Macaca mulatta: one gene and its partner. The protein of the gene in region 1 binds, or shares a complex with, the protein of each later gene. Links are inferred from orthologs where the notes say so. Each region holds a gene or a part of one and is shown on either strand. Other genes may lie near its edges.

What was found.
Region 2: the proteins of VASP (region 1) and PFN2 are in contact, whole or in part, in a crystal structure (PDB 2V8C), measured with the Mus musculus proteins. The link is inferred for Macaca mulatta from reciprocal best matches to the Homo sapiens genes VASP and PFN2. Residues at the interface, in NP_033525.2 of Mus musculus: Gly165, Pro166, Pro167, Pro168, Pro169, Pro170, Gly171, Pro172, Pro173, Pro174, Pro175, Pro176; in NP_062283.1 of Mus musculus: Gly3, Trp4, Ser6, Tyr7, Asn10, Cys13, Tyr30, Trp32, Met131, Tyr134, Ser138, Phe140.

What each region holds. Positions count from the first base shown.
Region 1 is NC_133424.1:58,036,694-58,040,608, reverse strand, and holds the start of VASP (vasodilator-stimulated phosphoprotein), read right to left. Parts: upstream 2,598-3,915; 5' UTR 2,305-2,597; coding exon 2,300-2,304; intron 1-2,299. UniProt on the Homo sapiens protein: Ena/VASP proteins are actin-associated proteins involved in a range of processes dependent on cytoskeleton remodeling and cell polarity such as axon guidance, lamellipodial and filopodial dynamics, platelet activation and cell migration.
Region 2 is NC_133407.1:52,984,385-52,988,199, reverse strand, and holds part of PFN2 (profilin-2), read left to right. Parts: intron 1-484; coding exon 485-630; 3' UTR 631-662; intron 663-2,886; exon of another isoform or gene 2,887-3,815. UniProt on the Homo sapiens protein: Binds to actin and affects the structure of the cytoskeleton. At high concentrations, profilin prevents the polymerization of actin, whereas it enhances it at low concentrations. By binding to PIP2, it inhibits the formation of IP3 and DG.

The DNA of each region.
Region 1 (3,915 bases):
CCCTGAGATTCTAGACCTCTGCCTCGCTTCTCTGTCTTCCCAGCACCCCAGCTCCAGTCCGGGACACAGCCGACACTCAACAAATATTTGTCAAATTGGGAGAAAAAGAACTATATCTTGTAATTTTCCATCTTAACATCCTCTCTTCCAACTGCCCCCAGGACTGTCCCCCAGCCAAACCAGCCAGAAATCAGAGGATCCTAGGTTCCTCCACCCCTCCAACATTGCCTAGGAATTTCTGAGGGATCTTGGCCATGTCTTTTTCTCTTTGAGCCTCAGTTTCCCCAGCTGGGTAATAGGGGCATGGGTTTTGAATCCTGGCTGTCCTTGGAGAAGAGGCACAGCCCAGTAAGTCGGGTGTGACCACCTGCAGGGGAGACCCCTGGAAAGGTGGGAGTGGCCTTCTGGTGGGACAGGCATCTGGTCACTTCTGCACTGCACCCCACCCCAGCACCCCCACAAGGTGGGATGCTTGATCACCGCCCCAGCAAGAGGTGGGCCCTGTGGGAGGGCCAGGGCTTCCAGGGCTGCTGGTGGTGGTGGTGGTGGTGGTGGGGAGGGCAGGGGGCCGGCCCAGACACCACTCCTGCCCTTTTACGGTTGCAGTGAGTGAGGCAGCACTAACTCGGACATCCGCCATCCGCCTTCCACTGAGCCTGGGACCGGAAACGCGAGGGGGGTGGAGGGGCGGGGCTGGGGGGCAAGGGGAGAGAAGAGTCCCGGAGGAAGAGGGCGAAGGAAGAGAGCGACGCTCCCTAAACTGACCCCTCTCCAGGGCGGACTTGGAAGGGATGTTGCTATAATGGGGAGCGGATAGGATAGGCAGGAAGTCTTGAGGGTATCTGTGGGTGTCCTCCTTGCTCCAAATTTTCCAGCCATGCCTTTCACATCAGAAGGAACAAACGCGGGAGGGGAATTCTCTAGTGGTCATAAAAAGGAACGCCACTCCACTCCGATGTCAAAGGGCAGGGGTTCAGGAAATGCAGGGGATGTGGGCACCACGGGGTTAATCCCCAGCCGTCCCCAGGGGCCTCCCTGCTAAGGCTGGGGGCTTTGGGGCAGGAAGTCCCAGAGAGAGTGGAGGAAGGGAGATAGTATTGTCAGGCTCTGGCCCCATGGGAGAGATTATGGGGGGCCAGGGGAGGGGAGAATGGGAGGATGGTTGGGTCCCCCTGCCCACACTGGCCCCGCCCTCAGGTGAGTCCAGGAGTTCGGGGGAGGCCCCGGCCAGACCAAATCCCTGGGTCCCTTGGGCCGCCGCCCCCAGGATTAAATTCCTGGGAAGATAGCTGGAATTATCTGGGAAGCCTGGGTCCCTAGGGAAGAGGGCTATGACCTTGAAGCTTTCCAGCTCCCCTTCCTCCAACCCCAAGGCTCCGGATGGATGGGGGGGGCGGCGAGCAAAGGGGGAGGCGCCGTGGTGGGGAAGGCAGCCGGCCCACAGCGCTCGGTGCCCGCCCCCCACACCAGCTGTCTCGACAGGTGAGTCAGGAAGACAAAGGCCCCCTTCCCCCAGCTGCTGCGTCCCCTCCCTCCCCAGGGCCGCGCAGGTGGGGGAGCCGGGCCGCCCTTATGGCCCGGGGCAGGGAGCCGCCCTCTGCTCCGAGCGCCCGCTCTGTCCTAGGCACTGCCTGTTAAGCAGATTGCGTGCGGAGCGACGGGGGAGGGGAATCCCACCAGACTCCGGAGGCTGCGTCCGGGTCCCTGGATCGGTTCATACCAGCCTCTTCCACAGGAAGACCTAAGTGCCCCCCAAAATTTAGGGGATTAAGAAGTACCCCCGAAGTTCAGGAGCGCGGTCTCACTTGGGGAGACTTTTTCCAGCACCACGTAAACGGGGTCCCTGCACACCAAGGGTCTGAGTCTCAGTCTCTCTTCCAAGTCCCAGGGTCTCCCAAACCAGTCCCCCACAATCCTTCCCCGACCTCGAGCTGAAGTTTGGGGGGAGGGGGAGGAAAGTCTGAGCCCTGCCTCAATCCTGGCATCCCTGCGGGGAGTCGCTGCCAACTTTGAGGTCCTCTGAAAAAAAGTCTTAACAATTCGGGAGTCCTCCGAGCGTCCCCAAATCTTGAGGGCTCCCAGGGGAACCTCACCGCCACCACCCCCCGAGCTTGGGAAGTCAGTCGTGGAGAAGTGATCGACGGTTTTGGGGCTTGTCCTAGGGGATTCAGCCCAAATCCGAGGCTCCCAAGGATCTGTCCCCAAATTCCAGCCCGGAGCGAGCTTGGGGGGAGGGGGACAAAGGCGGGGCGCGGAGCCCGCCCGGGCGGGGACGGGTCGGGGGGCAGGTCCGGCTCACCTCATGGCTGATCTGCGGGCGGGCGGCGCGCCCACGGACTGGCTGCTCCCGGGGCGCCCCTGGCTGGAGGTTCAGGGGTTCGGGGCTGGCTCCGGGCTCGACTCAGGCTCCCCCAGGGTCCCGCCCCATAGAGTCCGGCTTCCTGGGTAGAACGTGGACCGGGCCGGGGCGGGTCTCCGGGCGCCGCTTCCCTCAGGCGATCTGATGAGAGGTCCCTGCGGCAGAAAGGGGATGCGGCGTCTGCTCCCCGACGCGCCCCCCTTGCCGGCGGCGGCTACACTGTTACTCTTACTACTGTACTTCTCTTCGTTACATTTCGTTCCAAAATTCCACTCCCCGCACCCACAATGCCCCGCGCCTTAAAGGGGCCGCGCGCGCCTCCAGGCGAGGGGGTGGAGGGCGCTTAAAAGGGCAACTCGGCACCCTCTGCTTCCGCGATCTTGCTGCTCTCCCCAACGTTATCGTCCAGGGGTGCACCCTGGGAGTCACCACCACATGGAGGGGCAAGCTTGGTGAAGGGGAAGGCGACCTCCCTTGCTCCCTAGTTCGCTTCCACTGTGGGAATTCTCAGGAGCGTCTCGGAAGGGGCACGATTTCTTTCCCCATCGACTTCTCCATCTCGTACTCCGCTCAATTTTGGGGGTCGAAGAGGACCCTCCAGTTAGTTAAGCAAGTGGTCTCAGATTTTCTCCCTGAAATTCCATCTTCGGAACCCCGCCCCTCCCCAGCGTCTCTCTTCTGTCAATTTCGGAGGGGTTACTAAGGGGGCGAGCCCCCCACCCGCGCGGGAGGGGAGGTGGGGGGGAGTAGGGCCCCACCCCTCTCACCCCACCCCGCCCGCCCCGGGAAGGTGAGGAGGAAGTGGGCCAAGGGGGCGCGGTCGGCCGCTGACTCACAGCCGCAGGGTCGGGGGTGGGGTGGGGGTGGAGGTGGGGACTGGCGAGGAGTGCCGGAGTTGGGGGCCTGGCATTCGCCCGAGGTGGGCAGGAGGCGCCGGCTTCTTGGGTATGTAAAGCCTCCGACCCACGTACGCCCCGCTCTGACTCAGTTTCGCCTGCGGAGGACAGCAGGATCATCCCAGCCCTCAGGAGGGCCCGGAGGTGAGGAGACCCTCCCCGGAGCCCCCGCCCCCACACGCCGGCTCCAGGCTGAGCCCAGACACCCTCCGAGGCTTCCGCAGCGTGTCTTGCCGGCCACGCCCCGAGTGACGTCACTGATGTGGTCGCGCCCCTTGGGTAGAGCGCCACCTGGCCCGGGTGAGGGCCCGGGTGAGGCCCTGGGAAATCAGTTTCACGTTTACACATGGGTAAACTGAGGCCTGGAGACAGGGAATGAATCTGGCCTATGACCCTCTTGCCTGAGCCCCCAGAACCCGGAAAGCCACCAAGATCTGAGTGTAAAACCAACAATTCTCAGGGCCAGCTGACTAGGTGAGAGAATCCACTTTTCCAGCGTATTTCCAAGCCGAGTCCCATGTCCGGATGTTTTCCTGACCTCCTTTACCTGGAGAGCACTTCCTCCTTACAGGCCAAGCTCTGACATTAATTACCCTCCCCTTCTCCACCCCACTCTGGGAGATCTTGAACCCTGATCCTCAGAGGTTATCATTGTTTCTC
Region 2 (3,815 bases), on another chromosome or scaffold:
TTTGAGACGGAGTCTCACTCTGTTGCCCAGGCTGGAATGCAGTGGCACAATTTCGGCTCACTGCAAGCTCCGTCTCCCGGGTTCATGCCATTCTCCTGCCTCAACCTCCCGAGTAGCTGGGACTAGAGGCCACACCGCCACGCTGGCTAATTTTTTGTATTTTTAGTAGAGACGGGGTTTCACCATGTTAGCCAGGATGGTCTCGAATCCTGACCTCGTGATCTGCCCGCCTCAGCCTCCCAAAGGGCTGGGATTACAGGCATGAGCCACTGCGCCCGGCCGCAAGCATAAAACTTTAACATTCAGGTGATGGCCTACTTCAAGTAATATTACAGATAAAATTAGTGCCTGGGAATTTCTTTTTAATGGGCTTTGATCTGTTACATATAGTTTTGAGTCATTTCAGGCTCATCTTCAGGCGTATGTGAGAAGCAACTGACATCTGCTAGAAAATGAGTATTTTCCTTTTCTTGCTGGTTTCTAGATGTGAAATCTAATAAACAGCAAAGGGAGTACCAAGAAGAGTTTCTGCACTATCGTGGATTTTTCTGTGTTGAAATGTCGTATGACTTTAGATTTGGAGGCTGTGTTGGCAGACTGAAGTCAGCCAACTGGGGCCCTCCTACATAAGAGCAGAAGACATTCCTTAGGCAGCATATAAGGTAATTGGGATGCTTTTGCACTTTTTGGCTTTGTAGTGACATGTTGACCATGGCTATGTAATAGATTTAATCCCAGAGGCCATAAAATCCCTGATATGTATTGAAGTTTGGTAAATATGTAAATTTAGGGCTATTTGGATAAATCATTATTACCAACAACTCAAGCAGATGCTTAGAGCCAGGGGTGCTCAAAAGTTAGTGGGTTTCAGTAAAACTGGGGAGCTGGTTAGAAGGCAGATTATGGACTCTGGGGTTCCATCCTGGAGATGGAGAGTCCATAAGCCCAGGAATCCCTTTTCAGAAACAATCACTGGGTCAGTCTGATTCATTTTAAGTGGTGTTTATGCTACCTTTTGAGAAACGATGGGTTAGGGAATAGGAATTAATCTGCTTATACTATGCATGTGAAAGTTTTCTTTGGTTGTCAGGCATTGGTTGTGAATATGGCTGTACATACACAGGGATGTAAAAGTATGGAAGATAAAGGATCTGGGGCTATTTTGGTAGTTGGACATAACCTAGAAATTGTAAAACTATAATAAAAACCTGGTATCAGTTTCTTGACCTGTTAAGGCCAAAAGATTGGGCAAATGAAAATTTGGTGGTTGAGTTGTGATGATTTGAGATTTTACAATAATACACATTCACACTTCACTTGTAAAGAACTATTAGGGTAACCAATTATAGAAAGCAGTGACCAAAATTCTGAAACTGTTAATCTGTAAGTAGGTGAGGGGGCAGTGTGTATGTGTGTGTGTTCAGAGAGGAGGTTGGGGGTAGAAGGTGGTAAAGGGTGACTGTATCACTAAAATAGTATATAATGAAACTATTCATTGGCCCTCCACCCACAATTTCATTAGAAAAATACTTAGGGAAATATATACAGCTATACTTTGCTTTGTACTTAGTTCTAGGAATTTCGCATATGGAAATGAAGCTATACAAATTTGTATACCAGAATGTCCATCACACTGCATTACTTAAGCCATCCAAACTTGGAAAACATCTACAAGGTTCAGCTTTTTAAGGGGTATGGTTTGAATAAATGATTTTAAGTCCATAGGACAAAATAGTCATTGAAGAATGACATGAGAATGCTTACCAATGAATGTTAATGAGAATATAAACATGTTACATGACAGTGCACATACATACAGTATTAATATACATGTATTTTACATATGTATTTCTGAAGGCAGTATAGTTTCCAGGTGACTATATTTTGATTTCTAGTGTTTTAATGTTACTTTTGTAATCAAGAAAATTTTAAATTTTTAAATAGAAATTGGATTTTAATTGCACCTACTGTCCTATTCAAAAAGCTATACCATGAAATTACAGAACATTTCAAGTGAACATTAACAGAACCTAGTAACAGTCCTAGCCAGTGCTGCTAAATAAGACACTTCGTAGATTTTTTTTTTTTACATAAAATTAAAGTAATTTGGAATTTCAAAAAAAAAATTTTTTTTTTCCATAAAAACTCCTAACATAAAGGAACTAGGTCCTTGTTCTAAACTTTGGATTAAAGACTAAGGGAATATAACATCTAATACATACTTACCCATTACTGTGACTTTTTATTTTTTTCCCTTTTCCTATTTTAAAATACTATTTTAGGTTTGATGTTTTTATTTAATAATTATTTTGAAGACTATTACTTATTGCACATCTATGCACCAGATACTGAGCCCAACGTTTTGTCCTCACACCCTCACTTAGGTTAAATGAAAATTATGCAAATGACCAGGTTTAAAACGGTTAGGACCATACAATTATGTCCAGTTCCAAACTTTGCTTAACTACCGTGGTAACCTTTGATGTCCTGTTTCTCAGGCCTGTGGTTCTTTAATTTTTTATAAAAAAGGGGAAGAGGGATGAGGTATCAGATAGCGGATGTTGAATTCAACCGTTTATTTTCCAAAGTAGAAATACCTATTTTTTCCTGATTATGAACATTTTTTAAAAGGCAATTCGGAAAGTGAAATTTTCCCTCGATATACCATAATTTACAACAGGGTACCAAAATGTACACTGTTTATTTTTGGAATAATTTTGGCAGCAGTCTAAACTTTTGGGAGATTACCTAACTGCATGTGAATGGTCAGTTACTTTGTATAAAATTCTAGGGTGATGTGATTTCTCTGACCTCAATCATTATCCCTTTATAGGATATATATAAATAAGACTAATATGGTAAGTAAATGGTAGAACAGACATTTACTGGATCTTAAAGTGGAAAACATGTTTATTAACATTCAAACTCCCCTCATACAAGGCCATATAAAAATCCTTAGCATTTTGATTATACATTAGTCTACATTTTCTACATAGTTACAATGATGTATATAATTTAGCTTTTCATAATACAGTGTTTCAATACATCATTAGTTCTGTTAAACATAAGTCACTTACTTTCAAATCCAATACTTGAACAATTTCCTCTGTACATAGTTTAGCAGGGCTAATTAGCATAAGATGCTATTTATTAAGAGGTATATGATCTGAGCATTAACAGTTGCTGAAGTTTGGTATTTTTATGCAGCATTTTCTTTTTGCTTTGATAACACCACAAAACCCTTAAGGACACTGAAAATTAATAAGTAAAGTTCAGAAACATTAGCTGCTGAATCAAATCTCTACATAACACTATAGTAATTAAAACATTAAAAAAAAACGTGTTGAAATCTGCACTAGTATAGACCGCTCCTGTCAGGATAAGACTGCTTTGGAACAGAAAGGGAAAATACAGCTTTGAGTTTCTTTGTGCTGATAGGAGGAGGAAAGGCTGAGTTACCTTGTTGCCTCTCCCTAATGATTGGCAGGTCAGGTAAATGCCAGAACATACTCCAACTCAACAACTCTAGGTAACTTTATGGAGGTGGAAGCTGGGTTAGTTCATGCTAGGTGGCTGTCGCACTGACCTCATGTATAAAACACAAAACATTTAAATACTGTGATCTAGGTCTTAATTGCAAGCTATACTGAGGATTTTTTTTTTTTTAATGTTTTGGCTATACTTTAATTCCAAAAGAAGAGCTGAATTGATGCTTGAGTTACAGCACCAGTCTATTATTAGTGAATGAAGTACACTCTTGCAGATAAATACCAGATCAAAAGTCCTGTTTCAGTAATTTGATTAAACTGTAGAAT